Linked DNA regions of Caenorhabditis elegans. The protein of the gene in region 2 interacts with the protein of the main gene of each other region in a pairwise test. Each region holds a gene or a part of one and is shown on either strand. Other genes may lie near its edges.

What was found.
Region 1: the proteins of ces-1 (region 2) and unc-37 interact in a two-hybrid assay, tested with the Caenorhabditis elegans proteins (3 studies listed by BioGRID).
Region 3: the proteins of ces-1 (region 2) and uso-1 interact in a two-hybrid assay, tested with the Caenorhabditis elegans proteins (2 studies listed by BioGRID).

The regions. Positions count from the first base shown.
Region 1 is NC_003279.8:6,740,262-6,748,822, forward strand, and holds unc-37 (Transcription factor unc-37), read right to left. Parts: upstream 5,069-8,561; 5' UTR 5,064-5,068; coding exon 4,983-5,063; intron 4,931-4,982; coding exon 4,787-4,930; intron 4,535-4,786; coding exon 4,024-4,534; intron 3,937-4,023; coding exon 3,741-3,936; intron 3,688-3,740; coding exon 2,940-3,687; intron 2,422-2,939; coding exon 2,263-2,421; 3' UTR 2,046-2,262; downstream 1-2,045. Other genes in the region: dhod-1 (Dihydroorotate dehydrogenase (quinone), mitochondrial), read left to right, coding at 53-127, 591-750; cytb-5.2 (Cytochrome b5 heme-binding domain-containing protein), read left to right, coding at 1,027-1,119, 1,171-1,503; W02D3.12 (Succinate dehydrogenase assembly factor 4, mitochondrial), read left to right, coding at 1,728-1,758, 1,807-2,045; fnci-1 (FANCI helical domain-containing protein), read right to left, coding at 6,071-6,133, 7,016-7,151, 7,248-7,339, 7,820-8,119, 8,172-8,329, 8,378-8,561. UniProt on the Caenorhabditis elegans protein: Transcriptional corepressor that functions with the neural specificity gene unc-4 to govern motor neuron identity. In concert with unc-4, represses the expression of VB-specific genes such as ceh-12, thereby preventing the adoption of VB motor neuron fate.
Region 2 is NC_003279.8:8,630,983-8,638,313, reverse strand, and holds ces-1 (C2H2-type domain-containing protein), read right to left. Parts: upstream 4,418-7,331; 5' UTR 4,366-4,417; coding exon 4,290-4,365; intron 3,975-4,289; coding exon 3,671-3,974; intron 3,620-3,670; coding exon 3,538-3,619; intron 3,438-3,537; coding exon 3,358-3,437; intron 2,595-3,357; coding exon 2,410-2,594; intron 2,356-2,409; coding exon 2,270-2,355; 3' UTR 2,145-2,269; downstream 1-2,144. Other genes in the region: cpn-1 (Calponin-homology (CH) domain-containing protein), read left to right, coding at 1,191-1,310, 1,439-1,654, 1,699-1,941; Sperm vesicle fusion protein fer-1, read left to right, coding at 7,130-7,198, 7,246-7,331.
Region 3 is NC_003282.8:13,449,760-13,457,783, forward strand, and holds the start of uso-1 (Uso1_p115_head domain-containing protein), read right to left. Parts: upstream 5,040-8,024; coding exon 4,938-5,039; intron 4,023-4,937; coding exon 3,927-4,022; intron 3,741-3,926; coding exon 3,585-3,740; intron 3,522-3,584; coding exon 3,277-3,521; intron 2,023-3,276; coding exon 1,772-2,022; intron 1,719-1,771; coding exon 1,634-1,718; intron 661-1,633; coding exon 408-660; intron 1-407. Other genes in the region: Y38H8A.7 (uncharacterized protein), read left to right, coding at 5,747-5,836, 5,884-5,967, 6,037-6,130, 6,175-6,274, 6,325-6,376.

The DNA.
Region 1 (8,561 bases), 1.9 Mb from region 2:
TTCAACAAAAAAAATTGGTTTAATTTTGTTCGCATTGATAGTTTAATTTCAGACTCACAAACGGACAAATTCCAATTATCGGCTGTGGAGGAGTGTTCAGTGGAGCAGATGCATATGAAAAGATTAGGTAAGTGAACTTCCCAGTTCGAGGTCGAGTGGGGAAATTATCAAAAACCATTCCTATCTTGCTAAAATGACCAAATATTATTATAAAACTTTTCAAAAAAAATTTGAAACATTTTTTGTTTCGTTTCAAAAAGCAGTGAAAAATCGGTTTTCCCCTATTTTTCTTTGGAAATCGACGATCAAAAAAATGTTATTCTCCAGTTTTATGTTCTAATTATGTAAAATATGCATATTTCAACATTTTAAAGGTTTAAACATGATACAGTGATATAGATTTTTCGAAAAGTAAAAACACAGTTTTCAACGCCTTTTGACTCAAAATAAAAATTGAATTATAATATTTGACCATTTGAGTACAATATATGGTAAGAATGGTTTTATTGATTTTCCCACAGGCCGTATAGTCCACCGTTATTCAATCAAAGTATTAATTTCAATTTATTTAACTAAATGTAAAATTTCAGAGCCGGTGCTAGTCTGGTCCAACTCTATTCCGCGTTCGTCTATGAAGGATTTCCGGTAATCGGAAAAATCAAACGAGAACTTGTCGAACTTTTACGGAAAGATGGATTTTCGCATGTTTCGGAAGCAATTGGAGCTGATCACAGAGAAAAAACGAAATAATTATATTCCCAAGATTTTTGTTATTTTTTCAGGTTGACTTCATTTTCATGGGTGTTTCAAAATTGTTTTATAATTGAATTATTTTCTTCCGATGTTCAATGTGCCTTTTCATGAGATTGTAGGGTAATTCTTAGTATTTTCTGCATAAATTATTTGATTTCCTTATGTTTTTTTTTTCAATTTATACTAAAGTTTCTGGTTTTCAACCGAAATATATCACTTTTGAATAATTTTCAACGACTTAGAGACCATTTTTTGTTTCAGGGTTCATCAATTATGTCGGAGCTACGTGTCATTTCTCTCGATGAGGTCTCAAAGCACAACTGGGAAGATGCTGATCAATCGTGTTGGATTGTCATCTCCGGAAAGGTAATTTTTTTTTCATTTTTTAAATTTAAATATCGAAATCATTCCTTACAGGTCTACGATGTGACAAAGTTCTTGAATGAGCATCCAGGAGGTGAAGAAGTCATCACTCAATTAGCCGGTAAAGATGCTACAGTTGGATTCCTCGATGTTGGGCACTCAAAAGATGCTATTGAAATGGCCAATGAATATCTCATTGGTCAATTGCCAGAATCAGACGTTCCAAAAGTCGAGACAGCGGCTGCGAAACCTTCGAAAAACGAAAAATCATCATCTCTCCTCAATGATTTCACCGAAATTATGACTTCACCAACATGGACCAACTTCCTGATTCCAACTACAATGGGACTTGTCATTTATGCCGTGTACAAGTGCATGTTCAATTAAATTACCTTAGCTCTTATCCTATTCTTTTGATCTTATGCGCCCACTTTCTTGAAATGCATCAAAGAACATTTGTTTCTATGGACTTTTATATATGTGATAAAGATTTGTTGTCAATATTTTCATATGTTACTGAAGGAAAAATGGGTGGAGCCTTGGAGATATCGATGTAACTTTAGTCGCAAGATTAGTCCTATTGAAACAATTAAAAAAAATATTCAGATCAAATGCTTCGTCAGATTCTTCGTCCAATTTTGAGTATGGATTTTACACAAAAAACAATTTTCTAATTTCTTGACGATTCAGATTCTTCCCGCCGATTCGCAGATATAAAACCAAAACAAAGTGCGAAGGAGAAGGTGATGGCTGAGAAGACACCGAAAGGAGCACTTGATAAAGCAGACGAACAACAATATGAAGATCCTCACCTCAAGAAACATCCGGGAGGTGTGAATAAGTCAACTGGAGAAGTTGGTGGACCAGCTGGACCAGAGCCAACTCGATATGGTGATTGGGAGAGGAAGGGAAGAGTTTCAGATTTTTGAAATGTTTTATTAATTGCTGTTAAAGTCAAGTCAGATCATCATTGTTTTGTAGTGCAAATAAATAAATGTTTTAAACATAGAGTGACATTAATCGTAATAGGGTACACAAATACGAAAATTTGACAAACGAAATTAGAAGAGATGAGAGAGATGAAACGATTATCGTACAGAATAGGGGTTTTGAGTATCATGATCATAAATTCACTGCGGAAAAAAATTAATATTCAACTGCATAGAGAGTTGCCTTCTTCTCCCCTGATCCAGTGACAATGAGTGAGTCGTCGAATGAGATGTCACATGAGAGAACGGAGCTGTTCTCTTTTAGTTGAAAGAGTGATGCTCCGTATGGAGTACGCCAGGCGTTGAGAGCATTGTCCTGAAAAATTGAGATTATGAGGTTTCAATTAGAAAAATTGAGCCAATTACCGTATTTCTTCTATTAATATGGCTGCAATACTATTTTTCGATGGTCTTCCCGCTTGCAAGACTAATAGGGAGTGCAAGAATATTAGGGAGTGCAATACTAATTTTCAGAATATTTTTCTGACTTTGAGCTTACTAGTTTTTTTCTGAAAAAGCTCGAATCTTATGTAAAAATACAAAAAATTTTGATTTTAATTGTAACCTATAAGTTCAAAAACTTCAATTTCGTATAAATTTTGTGAAAAATTGTTGCACAATAGGCAAAAAATATTGTTGAAATCCTGAAATTAGCGAGATGGGTTTGCAATAAAAAAAAAGTAAACGCAAGACTATTAGAGAGTGCAATAGGGAGTGCCATACTAATTTTTGGAAGGTCTCCGAGGGGCAATACTAATAGGGAGTGCAAGTCTAATAGGGAGGCCATACTAATAGAAGAAATACGGTAAATGACAAAGTATAATCAAAACATACCTTTCCAGTTGAAATGAAGAACTTTCCGGAATGCGCAAATTTGAGCGAAAGGACGCATGATTCGTGTTGTGTCAATTGATACTTTTCTTTTCCAGTTGTTGACAGAACCTCGACATAATTATTCTCCATACCAACAGCCACCCATTCATCATTTGGACAACATCCAAGAGAGAAAACTTGGCTCGCAAAATCATGCTTCGCAACTTCCTTTCGTTGTGCAAGATCCCAGCATCTAACAGAATTGTCAAGACCACCTGACCAGAGCTTTGTACCATCTTTTGAGAGATCGAGACATGATGCTCCATCTTGATGTCCAGGTAGGGTTCCAACTTTCACCTTATTATGGATATCATAAATGAGGATATTTCCATCAGCAAGACATGCGAACAATAATTTCTCATCTGGTGACATCGCCAACGCGTAGCATGCTTGTGAATCAGTTTCCAAGTCCAAAGTTTTTGTTTCAGTTGTAAGATCCCAAAGAGCAACAGTACTGGCTTCTCCTCCAATCAGAAGTGTATTTCCATCTTCAAAGAGTTTACAAGATCTAATATAGTTCTCTTTGAGACAATCCAAGGATGCAATTGGAGGCCGATTCACAACCGTTGCGCCAGAAATATCTGATTCTTTGACATCCCAGATCTTAACACATCCTTTTCCACCAGTATAAACACGACTGTTATCACGGGAAATTGTGGCCGCACAAACTACTTCTCCGTGATTTAATTCCATTTTCTTCTTGAGACCTCTGCAATTTTTTTTTTCAAATTTGAATCAAAGCCAATTATTATATTTTCTTACGTCGGAATTCCGGGACCTTTCTGTGCATCTGGAGGGAAGGATGTAGGTGTTGGAACTCCACCGTCCACAATTTTGAATGAATAGGCCGGTCTGCTACCGATTTGCCCGATGGCAGCTGCAAGACGGGCCTGTGCATGGGGATCATTCAAAAAGTTGAATCCTCCAGCAGCACTAGCTTGTCGGAGAAGATTTGGATCTGAAAATTGAAATATTTTGGCATTGCCTGAAGTTTTGGTATTTGCTCCCTCCACTTAGCACACTTCAAAAGATTGTAAACACGTACTGAATCCAGCTAAAAAGTTCATTTGCTCCAATCCTTGAAGCCCAGCGAGTGGCTGCTGTTGTTGTCTTGCTCTAGAATTTGATGCGATGCTCGGTGTAGATGCTCCCGATGAGGCAACACTATTTGTGCTATCTCTTCCATTTTTATTAGCTGCGCCTCCATTTGATGCAGTACTTGGATGATCATCATTTGTGACATCAATCTCAAGTTCTCCATCATCTGGATCTTCCAGCTTGGCCTTTTTCGCTTCACTTGCACCTCCAGAACTTCCACCGGCTCCATCTCCACCGTTGACATGTGGTGATGCGAATTGATTGAATAGTTGACTCATTGCAGGGCTCATTCCGAATGGCATATTTGGCATCATTCCAAGCATTCCAGCTGCACCGGGAGGAAAACCTGGTGGAAGTGCTGGTGCTCCATTTCCATTTTCACGTGGTGATGCGGTTTTGAAAGCTTCCAGTGCGGCGAGGCAGTTTGCTTGATTATCTTGAGATAGTTGAGGAGCCAACTGAAAAATATACATTTATAATATTACCTAAAATTGATTATTATGAATTAAAAATATTACATAATAATTTTTCTTCTATTTATAAATGAATATATGGAAAGAGGAGCATGTTTGAGTTGAACAAGGTACAATCCAATAGATATTATAACGTTTCCATAATATTTAGTTCAAATATTTCAACAAAAAAATTGTAATAGCTTTTTCTATATTTTTGTTCGATTTTTTAATAACATTATTGACGAGTTAATTTACCGATTGCATGATGAATTCCTGAAGGCGTTTGTTGATTTCTTCTGCTTTTCGAAGATCGCTACGAAGAGTATTTGATACTTCAGCGTACGTCATATACGATCTATTCATATTTTCTTTCTCTAACGCAACCTTTTCGATATCCGACTGCAAAATTGTTTTCAATATACTAAAATTTCTCTTACAAAATTAAGCTTACTCGTTGCTGGTTGACATGCTTCGACATTTCCGCATGCTCGTCTTTGATTCGATCGAGGGTTTCCAGATACGATGCCTTCATTTTTACTGAAAATTAAATACAATCAAGTGGATAGTGAATTATTAACATAAAAATTATGAGAGGAGTTTTAAAAATTCGATCAAAAAAATGCAAGGAAGAACAGACTAGTGATGGATTGGGAGAAGACAACAAAACTCAAGAAATAGCACGTGGTTTGAATAGACGTTGACAACGAGACGAAGAAACAAAGAAAGAGGACATGGGTTTCCAGTGGTGTAGACGGAGAGAATCATACATTAATTGCAAAACGACTGGTCATATAGCCCCACTAACGTTGAAGAATGAAGGAGGTATTGGTGTCGAGGAGGACGAACGCGCGGCGATGAATGCGACGCTGAATGGGTGACCGAATGGGGGGAGGAGTTGTCGATAGAGCACATTTGTTTTGAGCTCTTTTGAGCCCGAGTGTAGAAGATGAATGTATCCAATAAGTTTGATATTCAAGTAACACGAGGATCCGAGGATTTCTAACTAATATTTCGAATCAAACACGATGAAGCTGCAACTTACTATAGAGAGAAGCATTTATAAATATTTTACATGTACATAATCACAATTCCAGTATAAAAAACTCACAAAATTATCTAAAAAAACGGAAAAGGTTGAAATATTGAATAAAGAGACATAAACCTGTCTTGAAGAAAATATTTTTAAAAAATCATGTTTAACAAATAATAAGTTTATTGACATGGTATGTTCTTAAATAATTTGAGATTGAAAATCGGTAAGAAAATGAGATGAGAATCAAATGATAATAGTGAAAATTGAGATTCAAATGGAAAGAATAAAAACTCTTGAATGATTCTATTAGATTAAACAACAAGACGGTATACTGTAGCAGTCATGAAAATTTAAAAAAAAACCAAAACATGAATGAAGCTCCATTTTGTCATTTGTAACTAATTAGAAGCATTCCGGAGTGTTGAAGAATATATTACACATATAAAAACTCGAGAGTTTAAACTCATTAGGAAATCAAATATAATTGTCGTTTCATTGCTAACTGATCAGAAGACTGGACTCGTGCCTCTGGAGACACTTTCTTCTTCGTCATCAACCTCCTGCTTCACCTAAAAATACATTTTTAGATTAAGAGTGCAAGTCGTCTCGTGAAAAATATATTCTTGAACACGACACTTGATTTAAGGGCAGCGTAAATTTATATAAGGATTAAGGTAAATGAAGCTATCAACAACTAACAAGGTTATGCCCTTTGATCAATCATTTCATTTCAGTAATTGACACATTCATTTCCCACAATGTTAGATTTTATCGAAAAAGGAGGGATGTGATGGGTGGTTATAAACATTCAAAGATTCGAGAAGGCGATAATTGGTTGGATGTGTGTAACAGATGGTGGTGAGACGATGGTGTACACATTTGTTTGCACTTTATGTCATCATTATGACAACGAATACAATGAAAGTCAGATTTATGTTCCAGAAATAGAAAATTCCCATATAAGGGTCACCTTGGGTCAAATTGATGTCGGTTGATGGAAAAGGGATGTTTAATGGGTGAATGAGAATAATAAAATGTATGTGGTCGAGGCATTTGGAACTACATACATTTTATGTCTGGGATGCCGCTGTTTTAGATCATTTCACAAATTGAAATGAACATTTGACACAAATGTGGTCCTATTAATCAGCGCATTGAAACAGTTTCGCACCGAATATCCACAATTTATATTGAAAAATAATGATTTCTTTTTTATTCAAAACATCATAGGAATTGTTGAAACAGTAAACTATTTTTGGATTTTAACATTTGTAAGATTTTTGAAAGATATGGAGACTTACTTTAATTTTTTCGAAATTTTAATTGCCGAATTGTTTTTTGAAACTTTATTTTTTAGAGTTAAAGTTTTTGTCCAAATAAAATATTTTTCGGCCTTAGAATTAATCAGCTCAAGTAGTGGTTACACAACTCATAAAATCTCGTACACATACCACTCCAACAGTGTTCTCTTGATCTCTTGGCTCTTCGGGTTCTTCGGAGCTTCTTCTTGCAGATGTTGTACTCTCTTCAGTTTCTTCTATTTCTTCATCTTCCATACTTGGGTCCCTACGGCCTCGTTTGGTGGCTCTGAAAGCATCTCGTTACTTGAAAATTATTTAAAGAAACAAAAGAGGATTCAATAATAAACTGGAGAAACAATACTTTTTGAAATTTAAAACGTACGGTTCACAAACTTCTTCATTAGCTTGCCCGCTCAATTTGTTGCGAAGAACTTCCATATCGATTCGGAAGTCACGATATCCAATTGAATTGTTCTTTAAAAATATTTTTGAAAATGTCTAAAAAAAAGATTTTCAAATATATAATTTTGTAGCTTGAAGGTCACAGCCAAGGCTGCATTTTTCGCTTTATTCTGTGTTTCTGGCGAAAAATCTATTTTTTGTGCTTTTACCGGATAAAATTGATATAAAAAAACGAAAAAAAGCGACATTTTTAATTATCTTTTCACTACCCGAAAATGTATGCATTTTGAAATTTTACGCTTTTTGTCAAAAAACGACACTCGAAAATGTCTATAGGTTCAAAATTTTCGTGAAAACGCCTCAGACTAGTTTCGAAAGTAATAACTGTTGTTTTTGTCTTTTTTTTGGGTTTTGGCGAAATTTTATTCCGTTTATGTTTTAGAAAAAAAATCAATTTTTCGTCCACAGCCCTAATGACAGCTACAAAAGGAATAAATAAGTTTCTTACGAAATAAATTACAATTTAAACTCCCAATTGATATATCTACGTACCTTGATCTGAAGATCAAATCGATCATCTTTAATGAGCTTACAAAGAACAAGAATTCCATGTTGAACAGCTTCTCTTTCGTGTGAAAACTTTGAAAATAGTTTTTCGTCTCGTTTCGATTTTGCATATCTTGTTTTCTGTGAAATCTTTTTCTTCATTTCATCTTTTCCTTTCGAGAATCCAATATGATCGTCCACCATCGCAAGAATCGGCCTTAATTTTGTCTTTACCAACGTGGCAAGAATATTTGTACTCTGCCATTCGGACATTTCTTTTCCCCATCCTTTTGTAAGATTTTGAAGCTGAAATATTTGAGATTAAATCAAATTTTAAAAAGTTTCTGTTGAATTATACCAATACAACTCCCATCTGAATTGTGGTGAAGTAACTTGTCATAATCTCCGTGACTCTTTCCTGCATCATTTTGTATTGTACAAAGATTTGAAGAATTCTGGATACAAGTTCAGTGACTTCCAAGCATTTTGTAAGAAGAGTGCACAGCATATTATCAACTAAAAATCGGTTACAAAATATTAGACTATTTTAAAAATGTAACTCACAAACTGGAGGTTTCACAAAAAAGTCTTTTTGAAAAGTGAATGCATCTCTAATCAATGCCAGAGTTTTTTCGACAAACATAAATTGAAATTCTATGGACACATTGATGGTCGTCTTCGAGATGAAATGATATTTCATTTCTTCATTTTCTTCACTTAAAAATTCGAGAATATTTTCCATAATTTC
Region 2 (7,331 bases):
TTATTGAGAATTCCCATATCGACTCTCGTTTTCATATTTTTCAAATGCATTCAACCTAAACGAGCCGCTCACCATTCGTCCTTGTTTTTTTCTATTCCTTTTCAAGGTTTTCGTCATCATGTTGTGAGGAGTGTGTTGTCGATCGCCACCTTTTCCGATCGGTCGACTCTTGAAAAGTGGTTTTGCGTTTTTAATTAGAAAAGGGTCATTGGCGTGTTTGTATGCATGTTTGCAAAGTGTCCTATTACCGGTACAGAGAGTGTAGATAGTTAGAGAGTGACAGACATCCGGGACCCAATGGGGCGGGACGCGCGGAAGAGACGATTTGTGCCGATTTACGAAATTTTCCTCGTTGTCATCATTTCGTAAATCGACACAAATCGTCTCTTCCGCGCGCCCGCCCCATTGGGTCCCGGATGTCTGTCACTCTCTAACTATCTACACTCTCTGTACCGGTAATATTTCTTTCAAGAAGTAGTTTTCGTTTTCTTTCATTAGTTTTATGTTTTTTATAAACCAGGATATTAGATCGTAGTTTTCTTATTTGAGCTGCAAAATCTCTTTTTGAAAAATTTTTCCATGCTTATGTAGCTTTCATTTTTTTATCGCTCTTTTTAGATTGCGACATAGAACCAAAGTAACTTTATTTTGAGTGCCTCGAGCTCGAGAAAGTTCTAAAAATCTATTTTTACAATGAAATATTAATAATTTGCTGAATTTTATTTAAAACATCTTCTTTTAATGTTGGAGAAAAAGAACAGTATTTTCAAAATCAAACACAAAAATCTAGCGATCACCACAAACTTTTGTTTCGCTATGGGACCCGGTACTGTTGCCTCTTGAATGTTCCTTTAACTACAAAAGACCGCCTGAATTTTAGGAGCGCTCCTGAGCACATTTCTCATATCTTCATTCAAACCGGCAGTTTTCTCCCGAGAGCACTCTTAAATTGTTATTTTTGGGCTATTTTCGATTAAACTCTTCCAATTCTTTTTTATCAAACACCGTTCAATCAAATGTTCCTTATCAAAAACGCAAGACGTAGGCGGAGAACCAAAACTTTGCGATGAGTCAGAAGAATTTCACCATTTTTGGTTAGCGGAGAGTGGAAGAACCTCTTTTGTTTATAAATATTTTTTCTCGTCGTTAACTATACGCTTTTTTTCTTTCAAACTTATTCGTTCTAGAAAATGTCCGCTTTCGCTTCTTCGGATCGCGCTGAAAAGTCTGGAATTGCATTGGAGGCCCAGCAGAAAATCTACGAGAAATACGATAAGAATCTTGCCGGAGAAATTCTTCAATGGGTTCAGGTAATTTTGTGAAACTTTTCAAACGTTTATTGATTCTTGGCAAAGTCATATGTTTACATTGCAAACGAAGAAAATCATACAAATAAGTTATGCTCCTTCTTCGATTCACGATTTGAAACATTTTTCAGAACGTCACTGGCCAATCTTTCGACACCCAAGGAGACGCTGACAACTTGGTCAAGGTTTTTCAAGATGGAAGTCTTCTCTGCACTCTTGCCAATTCTTTGAAACCAGGAAGCGTCAAGAAGGTCAACACATCTGCCATGGCATTCAAGAAAATGGAGAACATCTCTTTCTTCCTGAAGTTTGCTGAGGAGTATGTGCAAAAGTCGGAACTCTTCCAGGTTTGTCCTTTCACTAAACACATTATGACATCAATTGTTTTCAGACTGTTGATCTCTACGAAGGACAGGACCCAAATGCTGTCCTCATCTGTCTCGCTTCTTTGGCACGAAAGTCTGAGAAGAACTTCGGTCGATCTGGTCTCGGACCGAAGGAAGCTCAAGGAGATCGTCGTGAATGGACCGATGAGCAATTGAAAGCTGGACATAACGTGATTGGTCTTCAAATGGGCAGCAACAAAGGGGCAACTGCTTCAGGACTTAACATGGGAAACACCCGCCACATGTAATTTCCAACGTATTCCCTACATTCTCAACCGGTTCTGGTAATCATAACGTGAAATTTTCCTATTCATTTTTTTATATGTCCAAATTATCAAGTGTACTGTAATCGATCTGGAAGCCACGCACTTCTAGAAAATTCAATTCGCTTCTCCAAATTTCATCGGTTCCAACATACAACTCATAATGATTTCCATGTTTTTGTGTAGAATTTTTGTCCAAATTATTTATTGTATTGTAATAAAGCTTGTAAGTAGGCAAATAAGCATTTTACAATATGAGACTAGACGATTTGCAAATGACTAGAAGAGCTTGAGGTCTGGTTGAACATGGATGTCATTTGCACGTTTCCAAATGACGATTTAAATAAGCTCGCAGGGCAAATCGACGACCACATTTATCACATTCGAATCGTTTGTCACCTGGAACAACAAATATTGAAGAACTGTTAGGTGTGAAAATATATGCGTAAATACCTGTATGAGTTAGCATGTGCGCTCGTAAGTTGCTCCGATCAGCAAATGATTTTCCACAATGAGCACAAGAGAAAGGCCGAAGACCTGTGTGAGAACGAAGATGTCCCTGGAGCAGCCAAAGTCTCGAAAATCGTTTCCCGCAAACATTACATTCATGAGAAGCGTTGTGTGTTAAAATGTGCATGCTGAAATTCAGTTTAACTTGTAAAACTAGGAGAAAAAGTTAACGTCCAATCCTAAGTCTCTACTAGATTGTGAACACTTAGCCCCAGCTTTCTGGTTGCTAGTTTCACTACTAATTCCATCGAATTCTTATTATTACCATGTATTATATAATTTCTATTATCCGCCTAACTACAATAGTGTACAATGTGTGTTGACGCAAAGAAATACAGGTACAGGTGGTGATTGCGCAATCGGAAGATTGTCTTCTGATGAGAATAAGGCAGGTGCGAATTGTTGGTGATTAAATAATACGAAGTGAAAGCTTGAGGAGATTAACCTTACAAACGTGGTTTCAATTACATTCTGGATATTATTTGGAAGTAATGATTCTCTATTCTTTGAACTGAGTTAGCTCGATATTTCAAATAAACTCTGGTGTGAAAACGTATTACCTATACGCGAAATATTGCAATTTTGCGCCCAAAGTACTGTACCTGGTCTTTACACGACAATTTTTTGAGAGTACTGTATTTTTCAAACTCTCTCGTTGATGCTCTTTTAAAGGGACACCTTTTTGCATTTAACCAAATTTTTTCGTGTCGAGACCGGGTACCGTATTTTTCAAAAATGACAATATTTTGCGCCTGCGTAATAACCAGATTTAGAATTTTTTCTAAGAAATTCAAAAACTTCACTTCTGAAAGTTATTGACTCGAATTCCTCAGTTTTACACGTTTCTCATTATAAAATACAATAATACTTTTTGAAAAGTAAAGCTCTTACCTTAGTGCAGGCATACTGACGTAGACTCGATCACAATGAGGGCATTGTTTGGCATGTGGACTATCCAAAGCTCTGTGCGTCTGAAATTGTTACTTTCAAAACAAAAGAATTCTCAATCCAGGAACACGAAGGAAGCAATATGTTATGTCATAGCTGTCAGAAAAACACTGTTTTACCTACCTGCTTGTGTCGACTGAGATTGGAAGTTGTTGCGTAGCTTTTCCCACATTTGTCACATACACATCTGTTATGAGAGGATGGTCTGAAAAAAAGTTATACGGGAGTCTTCTTCCGTTTCAATTACTTCACTAACCCTTTTTTATTCAAGCTTCTTCTATCCAAATTTTGAAGTGAATCCAATGTATATCCAGTGGTAGAACATGTTGGAGACGGAGATGAAGATACATCTTCATCGTTTTCCAATTCTAGTTTTGGAACTTTTTGAGAGTTTAGAATATTGTCTATTGAGAATACAGAGGTATTTTGTACAGATGATGGAGATTTCTTCAGATTTTCAGAGGACGTTGACGAACTAGAAGAGGACGAAGTAGATGCAGCTGAAGACTTTTGCATTTGTAGGTGTAGACTCATTAGATGCCATAGTTGGGCTTGAAAATCTGAAAGAAAATTTGGACTAAAAGGTTAAATAAGTATCACCACCGATTGCTCAACATTTGCTCAACTTTGACTGTTTTTATCTCGGTTGTCTCTGGTTTTTTTTAAAACATTGTGGAACAGTAAATATAGGTGTCAGATACATTATTCTTTATATTTTTGTTATTGAACAATTTTTGATAGATCCAAAATAAGAGCTGCCACTTTGGAGCAATGGGGGTGCAAGACTAATAGGAAAAATACAATATTTTGACACAATCTCCAAAACCAAAAAATATTAACGAAATATCAAGAACCTATTAAACTCAATAACTCACCACAATTGCCAATTATGGGGAAATCTACTGGAGGAGCAACAGTTGGTGTTAAACTAATATTCGGGGTAGTTATCATATTCTATCAGAAATGAATCAAGCTGTGAACTACACACAAAATCTGTTGAGCTTAACAAGACTGGGCGTGGTCTTAATGAGACGATCTGATTGGTCGGAGCTCACGAAGAGGCGGAACCACAAGAATTGCTCCAACAAGCTGGTAGACATGCGCAGTAGGTGGTCCCAAGAGGGACACAGGTTATTTTAGAAATATAATGGCTGAGGCGGTTATGGTTGAGTTTACAACACGTTTTGATATTTAGTCAATGAAAAATTGTAAAATTAGAGGATTTAAAAACATGGATTTTTGTTTAGAAACATAACAATTATTACTTTTTATACATAACTTTTTATTAAACAATTATTTCAAGTAGGAAATTTTTTGAAATTATGAAAAACTGTAGATGTAGATGCTTCTCTCGAAATTGAGTACTGTAGCTCAACTGTGGAAAACCATCAACACAGAAACCTGTGGCTATATCTCAAAAATTGAGATTCAAAAAGTTTCAAATTTTGTTCATCTGTCAATAAGCCATCTACAGTACTCTCACCGTTTAAGCTCGCTCAATCATGCAGGCAGATGGGACAGGTGACACAGTTCATGACCTGTTACATCATACCTAATTTCAACGCCGTCTGTCTATTTTCTAGTGACTAAATAGTAGGTTTATTTGTGCTCAATGCTCCAAATATATCAATTTGAACATTTGTGAATATAAGCGGATAATCTCTGGATTTTTCAATTAAAAAGTGATTGGAAATACTTTGGACCTCGGATACATGAAACAAAACACAAACTACACAAATAATGAAATGATTTTTTGATCAGTTGGAACTGAATAAATTGAAAAATAAGACCTTAGAAATAAAAATTAGAATATTTGACAGCATCTTGCATGAAGTTTAAAGTGACCAAAGTTTACATTAAAAAATGTTTAATTGAGATTTTTCCAACCTGTTTTTTTAGATCTAAAATACAGTTCTAGAACAAAAAATATCCCGACCAAATTTCCTTAATTTTTATCCTCTTCAGAGTTACACTATTTTTAATAATTATTATTAAAAAGGCTGAGAGGGACATTCATATATGATTATAATGCTTTTACCGTTTTCCACAACACTGCAAATTATTTGAAGGTTTGCACTGCAATTTTTAATGGAATTCATAATCTGAATCGTCTCAAAGTTACATCATATTATTCACAAACATATGTCCACATTATCTCACTAAAGACTGTAAAATGTAGTAGTCATATATGTACCAAGTGTCCATATCCCTCAAAACAGGTGTTTTCAATCTCAGTACCCATTACAGTCTATCAAGTGCAATTTATAGGAAGACACGTGTCACTTCAGACACCTCTCGACCTTTTTGTTGTACAACATGCCAACAATTGTTCAATTGAGATGCTTTTTTTGGTTTTTGAAATTTGGAACGTTGAACTGAAGAGCTAAGACTCTGCAAATAAAGAATCCAAATTTTTATCTAATTTTCTAAATGTTCAAAAAAATCATGCTTGTTGTTAAGAGTTTGCTGATTGATGTTTAAAAATAAATATATTTAGGACTCCAACAGGATGGCCGAGAAGTTTGTCACAAAGGCCCTTCACTTTGAAAAATATTACTAACATACCCTTAGAAAATTTTGAGATCATCTGTAAAAACCAACGATGGATTCATTTTACGAACATAAAAAGTAGTGACAAAGAAGAGATATATTTTTTTTATTTAAAAATACCTCACTGCTGCTTAAATCTTTGTTTTCCAAATGCCACACATTTGGCAAAAATTTCAATAACTACAGTTTCGCCAAACTTCAAATAATTCAACAATCATAAAGTATTTAATCATTCATATTACATAACATTGGTTTCAATCCAAAAGCTTTCCTCAATAATATTCGCTAATCGGCTCGTCAATCAACAATGCTTCATGCCTTTTAGAGGTACCCGTGGGGGGTCAACTCCTTTCTGCAAAAGGCATATGGCCGTCTGTCAAAATGGGGGTGTGCTCATTCGATTTCGTACCAGATGATGATATCTCAGCAGGAGACACATTTTGTTTCCCTTTGAAGATACTCATGTCTTTTGTCAATTGCATAATCTTTTCACGTTTGTTTGACAGGCGGGAGGATTCGGTGATGTGAGCCGACGGAAATGACATGGAGTCATCCGGAATTATGAATGTAGGGAATTAGGAAGTGAGCACCCAGGAAGCACACCCGAAAGTTTCAATGAATATTTTGAGCAACAACATTTCCAAAGTATGTCTAAAGAAAACGGAAAAAAAAAAAAATCAAAAACCACGTTTTTTCTTATAAAAAATCTTTTTTAAAACTTTTGGAAAACTGATATTCGGCAAACGAAAATCGCAGCCGACTCCTTATAGACAGTGACAACTTTGACAACATCTCAAAAAAACCGATCGAGGCGTGACGGGGCGCCTCTTTCCCCGCCCAACTCGCGCTTGCATAAAAATACAGTACTCCTACCGTACTAGTCCACTACCATGATAATTTCATCTTTTTCTAGTGAGAATTCCAATTTCGTACTACAATTTGGCTGACAATTAAAAATCAGAAAAATAATGAAACAAAAATAAATACGTGAGAAAAAAAACAAAAAAGTTTTACGTGAAAAAAGTTGAATCACGTATCTTTTCTCACGTGACCTGTGCTTCTCTTGTCTTCACAGCTTTGCCACATTTATTGCCACGTCATCCAACACCCCTTGCAAAAATTTCACGGGAACCAAGTTATTTCTTTCAATTTCCACCAAATCGACATGACGGTCAAGGAAAAGCTACTGAAAGTGAAGCAAAAGTTTAAGCGAGGGGATTCATCCAGTGATGTGGTGTGTCTTATTTTTATTAAATTCCTTTAAATTTTGCAATATTTCAGGATTCCGGCCCGGAGAGAGATCGGGATGAAGACGATTCGGATAACGAATCGAGGAATACAAGCAAGACGAGCAAATCCAGCAAAAA
Region 3 (8,024 bases), on a different chromosome or scaffold from region 2:
TTTCTCAAAGAAAAGTTATGACGGTTTAAAATTTTGAAAATCTCGAAGTTTGCCAATTTTCTTGCAGTTTATTTTTGTTGAAATTGACTCAAAAAACTAAGTTTTAGATCAAAAAAAAGTAATTTTACAATACAAAGTGTAAAAACATATGTTTTTTCTCGTTATTTCGTTGATTAAGGTACATTTCAAGTAATAGGTATTTAAATGTACCTAAATCAATGAAATAACGAGAAAAAACATACGTTTTAACACTTTGTATTGTAAAACCACTTTAAAAAAATTAAACTTAGTTTTAGTTTTTTGAGTTTTAATTGCAACTAATAAATCTAATAAAAGTCAATTTCCGGCCGCTGAGACACCGGTTTCGTTATGAAATTTGTTCTTTTCGGGCCATTTCGAACACAAACCTCCACAGATGCTCCAATTTCCGATAGAAGAACTCTGCACAGCTCCTCGAGAATTTTCGTTTGATTCAAGACTTTCTGAGCTGCGTGGGTATTTTCACTGGTGTTATCTGGACTAACAAGTGTACGAATGATTTGAAGCAAGAAAATAACGTTAGCTGTCCGTTGTTTCGCCCATTCAGTTACTTCGATATCTTCAGTTTCTTCGTTTCCATAGAGAAATGTGTGCAGGATTTTTCCGAGGCGAGCGACAAATCTGGAAAATTTGAATTTATAATTTACAAAAAAAAATCGAAAAAAATATTCAGAAAAGTAACAATAAAATTCGATTTTTTGTCTAATTTTGTTTATGTTGATGTGAAAAATATAAACATTTCTTCTAAAAAGGAGATAAATGACTAAAATTTTAATATATTTTTGGAAAAAGCGAAAAAAATCGAAAATCTTTCGTATTTCGATTTTGTAAAAAAAATTGAAAAACCGCCACTTTTGGTCTCGACACGATCAACTTTTGCTAAATGCAAAAAGGTGTGCGCCTTTAAAGAGTACTGTAATTTCAAATTATTCTTGTAATTTCAAATTATAATTATTCTCGAAAGTTTAAAATTACAGAAATCTTTAAAGGCGCACGCATTTTCGCAGACAACATAAATTTGTCGTGTCGAGACCGAGTATCGTCTTTTTGGCGCACGTGTATTCAGCTCGACCAACGCCTCGAAAATTTTAAAAAAAGGCGGGAAAAAATATTTAAATTTCCCAAGAGGAATTTCACCGCAGCGCGTGCAAAAATGTCTGCATTTGCGCGTCACGGTGTTTGCACAAATTACACCGAATGGTCGAGCTGAAAACACGTGTTGGCGCGAAAATCGCAAAAAAGGAGTAATTTTGAGTTTTTTCGTAAAAAATACTAAATTTCATAATGATATTTGTCTAAAACTCGAAAAAGTAATTAAATTGAGCTAAAATCTGGAAATTTGCTGCCGGAGATCGATTTTTTGTCAAAATTTTCACATTTTTCTGCATATTTTAGTATTTTATTTCGCATTTTCAAAGGATACATACCAAAATACAGAATAAATACCAAAAAAATGCGGAATAATTGATAAAAAATCGATTTCCGTGAGAGACAAGTCGCGAAAAATTCAGATTCAAGCAAAATTTTGCCATTTTGAGTGGTTTTCGATTTTTTAGATGCAATTTTTGTGTATTAAATTCCAATTTTCACTCACTGATCTTCTCTGAATATTTGCTGATTCATCGCATGTTTTCTCAATAAATTAAGCATTACAAACATGCAATCTTCGATGACAATGCCTGAAAACATAGAATAAAATAAATAAAATGTTTAAAATTGATTAGCCGCTCACTGTCAAGGGGCTCGGTTTCAATAATATTTAGAAGATCGAGAAATATATTATCATACGCGAGAAGCTGTTGAACCTGCGAGTTGGCTCTGCTCAATTCACAAATCATTAAAATTGCTTCGTTTCGAATAATTTCTCGATTATCATGAATAACGTCGACGAGCTTTGCGATTCCTTGAGGATGCTCCATTACGGCTTTTTGAACTTCTGTTCCACGATGACGAAGCAGGTTTGAAATCAGCTGAATTGCAGTTCTGAAATAGTAAAATACAGATTTTTGAAATAATTTATAGAAGGATTCGGGGGGTTTTTGCTCGTAAAGACTCAAAAATGAGCTCAAATGGACGAATTTCGTAATAGAACTGCTCAAGAAATTTTCAAAATTTTGTATTTTTTATGCCGGTTCAAAATTTCGAAATATTATATAATTACACTGATTTTAGCTAAATGCTCGAACTTCGGCCATTTTTCCGTGTTCCAGCTGTCCGAAATTGACTTTTTTGGAATTGTCATCCTTTTTTTGCATATTTTGGTAGTTTATATCATTTAATTTCGTTTATTAAAGTACATTTAAAGCCTATAAGTAGCCAAAAATCATAAAAAACGGTTACCTATCGTCTTTAAATGTACTTTAACAAACGAAATAATATGAGATAAAGTACCAAAATATTCAATAAAGGACGAGAATTCCAAAAAAGTCAACTTCGAACCGCTGCGACACGGAGAAAAGGCCAAAATTCGAGATTTTAGCTAAAATCAGTGTATTTTTTCGAAATTTTGAACCGCCATAAAAAGTTTTTCAAACATTTTCGAGCAGTTTCAATACGAAGTTCGATTATTTGAGCCCATTTTTGGGGGTATACGTTCAAAATCGTCCGAAATCTTCCTTAAAGGAGGATTCGGGGGAATTTTTGCTCGTAAAAATTAAAAATGCGCCAAAATACACTAATTTTGAAGATATAATTCTCAAAATTTCTGAAAAACGGGCTAATTTCAGTTAAAATCTCCAATTTTATCAATTTTTCCGCGTTAGGACTGCTGCAATGCAGTTTTTATCGAATTTTCATATTTTATTTGATCTCACGTTATTTCGTTATTAAAAGCAAACACCAAAGATAATAAAAAATCGGATACCAAACCAAAAAAAAAATGCAATAAAGACTGTATTTATACTGTTGTAACGCAAAAAAAGGAGCAAAATTGGGGATTTTGCCTAACATCAGGTGTTTTTAATTTCGAAGATTGTCTCGCAACAGCCGGAAATCGATTTAATTCAATTATAATCATATTTTGCCGTTTTTTGAGGAATTTTCAGTCGATAGGCCCCTTATTCAGTGCCTTTGGCCTGAAAATGTATCTCAATCGGAGAAAATACGGATAAATTAAAAAGAAAATTAATTTGCGGTTGTTGTGACACCGATAAGTTGACGAAATTGGAGATTTTAGCTGAAATTAGTGAATTTTTTAAAGCATCTTGATTTTTTTCTCGTTAATTTCGGAATAAAAACCTTCGAACTCCAATATCGAATTGTTCAACGGCGCATAAAACTGAAGAAATGAAGCCTTTTCGTTTAATCATCACTTCGGCTAATCGTTCTCCTAATTCATCGGATTCTGAAGAATCGTCGTCTGTTGACAAAACGATTGCCATCGTGTCGAGCACAATTGTCATGGCTTCGGTGTTCATGCGATCTGTTTCAAGCACGTCAATGAATGCATTCATTCCCATTGTTCCGACGGCTAATCGATATTTCTGAAATTACACGTTTAATTTTAATTGTTTAATTTTAATAGTTCAAATGATTTTTTCTCTCACCTTTGCGACACCTTTCAGCCCTCTCAACGCATCTCGACGGTCTTCTGGTGCCGTACAAGTTTCTGCTCGTTCCACAAGTGTTTCTACATATTCAGCTCCATTATCCTCGTCTTCATCTTGCTGTCCGCCGCCAAAAAAGTTCCGAAACAGCGACATCTGCAAAGCTACACGTGGCAGTGAGCGGAAAATGGGATTGTCGTGTTGTTGAGCGAATATAAATGATAATTAAATGCATTTTTTAATTTAATTTATTTATTTCTAAATATTTTTCTTTATTTTCTGAATTTTAACATAAAATAAATGAAAAAAAACGGGAAAAAAAGAAGAGAAAAGTGGAAAAACCTGTCGTGGAATTGGAGGATGCGTTCTCAATGGAGCGCGCTTGCTGACTCTTTTCGGACTTCGTTTTTTCGCTTGCAGACGTTGACGGAAATTGCTCTGAAAAAAAGATCTGCTCAAAAAGTGAATAAAACAAATATTTCAATTGTTTTAATAACAAAATTTGCATATTCAACTGAATAATAATTATACTGAATTCAAGAATTTCAAAAAAATTGGAGAAAGTTTGGGAAACAGATGGAAATTTTCAATAAAATCGTCGAGAAAACATTTTCTGTCAAAATCCGGATTAAATCCAGAAAGAAGAGTACCAGCTGCCCACGAAAATTTCGGGTTTTCCCCCAAAAGAACAGTCTTGAGTCCTGACACGATCGAAACTTTTCAGCTAAATACCGTACACGTGGCTCAAGCCAGTGGTCACGGTGTTTTATTTTATACTCATACCCAACATTTTGCGATTTTTGCGCCAAAAATACGGTTCCTGGTCTCGACACGACTTTTTTTTTGTTATATTCAAACCAGGGCGCGCCTTTAAAGAGTACTGTAATTTCGAACTTTCGTTGTTGCAGGGTTTTCATCGTTTTTTCATAGTTCTTCGTTAAAAAAGGCTGTTTTTATTTTGTAAAAAACTGAAGTAAAACAATTAAAACACATAAATTTTAAGAAAAACAATGAAAAGTCGAATAAAATGCCGCAGCGACAAAAGTTTAGAATTACAGTACTCTTTAAAGGAGAGCACCCGTTTCCATGCAACGAAAAATTGTCGTTTTGAGACCAAGAACTACCGTATTTTTCGCGCAAAACACATAAAAATTGCAAAATTTCCCGTCTGGCTAATATCTTTAATAAATATAAAGCATAGATTTTTTATAAATTGACAGGCTATTTTCAAATATTAAATTAAAAAAAAACAAAAATCAGCGCTAATATGCTCAATTCAAAATTTTTTAAATTGAAAAACATTGGTTAAAAGTAGAAATAACAATAAATCAATATATTTTGCAACAACTTTACCTGAGGCAAATTGAAAAACGCATTGGAAATTGTCGTGTCACTGGAAAACGATCTAACTGAAAGAGTTGATCCGGTAATTGAAGACGTTGAATAAGCGAACATTTCGATTGAATAAAACTATCGGCTCAGAGAGTGTTAGAGTGCGTAAAAGTGTAATGTAGGAAGAGGGCACATTGAGTGAGTTGATCGGGAGAGAAAAGTGAAGAGAAAACGGATAGAATAACAGAATACTGTTACTTCAAAATGTTTTGATTACGGGTAATGTATACATTTCGATATATATTAGCTTTCAGGCAAATCAACAAATTACTGGAATTGAAATTTCTGGCAAACTTTATTTTATTTTATTTCAATGTGTTTCAATGTTCAAAAAAAGAAAAATTTCCGAATATACTTCAAATATAATTCAAATAAATGCCCAAGTTAGAGTACTCAGATAAATCGAACCACGCAGGCACCGCTCCAAACCACGCAGGTGACTGCCCACCACGCAGTCAACGCGTCAAGACCACGCAGGCAACCAAAAGCACGCAGGTGACGCCTAGGAACCACGCAGGCGACTTGACGGTGGGCAGCTATTGGCAGTGGCTGCAAAACCACGCAGGTGACGCCTACATACCATGCAGGCAGCCAACGTTCAGCCACGCGCGGGATTCCTAGGCCAATGGCTGCGTACTCCTCTTGGACAACTTTTTCTTCTATTTTTTTTTCCTAATTTAATGGAATTTTCCGTTTTTTTTCTTGCAAAAAGCACTTTTATATTAATTTTCAATTTCTTCATGAAACTCAATAATTGTTTTCAGGTAAATATGTCAACCCCGGCCCGAAAAACCCCAAAAGGAGGCCGAAAGCGGCGTGGCAATGGACTGGAGGCGCCGCATTCGATTGGTCGCTTCAACGTAAGATAAACTTTATTTTTAAAAAATATATAGCAACAAAATTTCAGAAAAAACCTTCGGAATCGTTCGTTCGAACTATGGACTGGGATTTCAAAGAGCTTAGGAAAATCGCGGAAAATTCCAAGTCAAAGGTGAACAGAAGTTTGGCAGCTGCACAAATTCTCCAAATCCAGATGTAGTTAAAATAGTTCACTTTTCAGACAATTCCTCCAGAGCTCCTCCACACCTTCAGTGTCCACCCAAATTCGGTGAATCATCAGATTCTTCAAGGAAGACTTCTCAATTGTCCTATCAGTAAGCTATTCTTGTCCAATTTTTTTTTAAACAAAAATTTTCAGGCGTTCTTCACAATATTCTACATGTTGTAGCCGGATTCGAAGGACAGTTCCCGAGTGCGGATTTTGGCGATGTTTTCTCCCGACAGGTGGATCAAAAATGGTAAACACCCTTCTATCAATTTGTATTTCCAAAAATCAATAATATTGCAGCTTGAACGCACGGAAAAAGATGAGCCAGGAAAAGGACACACCATCACACTGATCACTGGGACGAAAACAACTGCCTAATGGACTTAATTTTGTTTCCCACCTTTTTTTGTTGTTATTTTTGAGATTTTCGTACTTTGCGTTTTAGATGGTTAAACGGTAGGAAGGGGAAGGAGCGGGCTGCGAACTGCCATTGCTGCAAGACCACGCAGGTGTCGCCTCCAAACCACGCAGGCAACGCGTTGAAACCACGCAGGGACTGGCATTCTTGAGCGTGGTTTGTACGCGTTGCCTGCGTGGTTTGGAGCGGTGCCTGCGTGGTTCGGTTTATCTGAGTAGTAAATTTTAAGGTCTTTCAGCATATACCAATAATATTCCAGTAGGTACAAGAAGCTTCACGTAGTTACAGAAATAGTACATTTTCAGCCCTACCTTTTAGTGCGTATTTTATTATTTAATGAAAACTACCATTTATAGGCAAAAATAGATGAATTTTCCAAACTTTGAAAATTCATAAATCTTTTGAAAGTAACTTTTTTTGAAATGTCTTTCAGAAACTTTGTAGTAAATTTTAAGCTCTTTCAGCATATACCAATAATATTCCAGTAGGTACAAGAAGCTTCACGTAGTTACAGAAATGTTTTATTTAATTATTTAATTATTAATTAAATGAATAAATAAATATTAATTAAATAAATAAATAAATATTAATTAAATAAATAAATATTAATTAAATAAATTAATAAAAATAAATTAATAAAATAAATATTAAATAAATAAATAAATATTAATCAAATAATAAATAAATAAATAAAGGTACAGTAAATAAGGAAAGTAATGACCCAATATGAGTGGGGGGATTATTAAATATTACCTAATATGGGTGAGTTATTAATTATTCCTTTGGCAGAGGAATGTCGGTGAGGGCTAAGAGTTCCCTGTATTGTAGGTTTTTGGGCCAAGAGTTCCCAGGGTAAAGAGTCCCCCTTCGGGTCAAGAGTCCCCGGTGTAGAAAGGGAAAGAGTTCCCAACAATGTAGAGTAGGTTTAGTGGAGGACTCCAAGGTGGATATGGTTGTGAGGCAGATCGACCAAAGAGTAGGGTGAGGAGGGGGGGGGGGGCAATTTTAAGGAAATATATATAAAAAAAACGTCTAAAAATTAGTCTTTGCGTCTGGTAAAAAGGAAAAGGAAAAAAAAGAAGGGAAACCAAAACAAGTAGTCCAAACTCCACTCGAATTGTCCGCCCAAGTTCTTGTTTGACACCGTATAGTCATGCCTGATCTTGCAGAGAGCCGCCAAAGTCTCCTCTGGCCTGAGGAAATCACCGAAAGTTGCCACTCAATTTAAATCTTCTTTCTTCTTCGCCGATGATTGGAGGGTAGCTAGTCCTCCGTCTAAGGGTTTTTAGTATGTATCGACCCTTTCGGTGTCTATTGCTAAATCTCTGGATAGTCTTGTCTCTTTGAAGGTGTCGTCGAAGAACCCGGCGTCGCATCACAAGCTCGCGAACTTGTGATACTAAACAGTCAGGCGCAAAAACTCGTAGTCTTTTTGCTAAACAGGGTACAGAGGCACGTACAGTGTACCCTGCGAAGTATAAAAAAGGAAAAAAAATAAATAAATAATTAGTCGTTACGTATCCGCGCCAGCCAGTCTTTATATGCCAAGTCATAAAATAAAAAACATTTTTTGACAAACTGT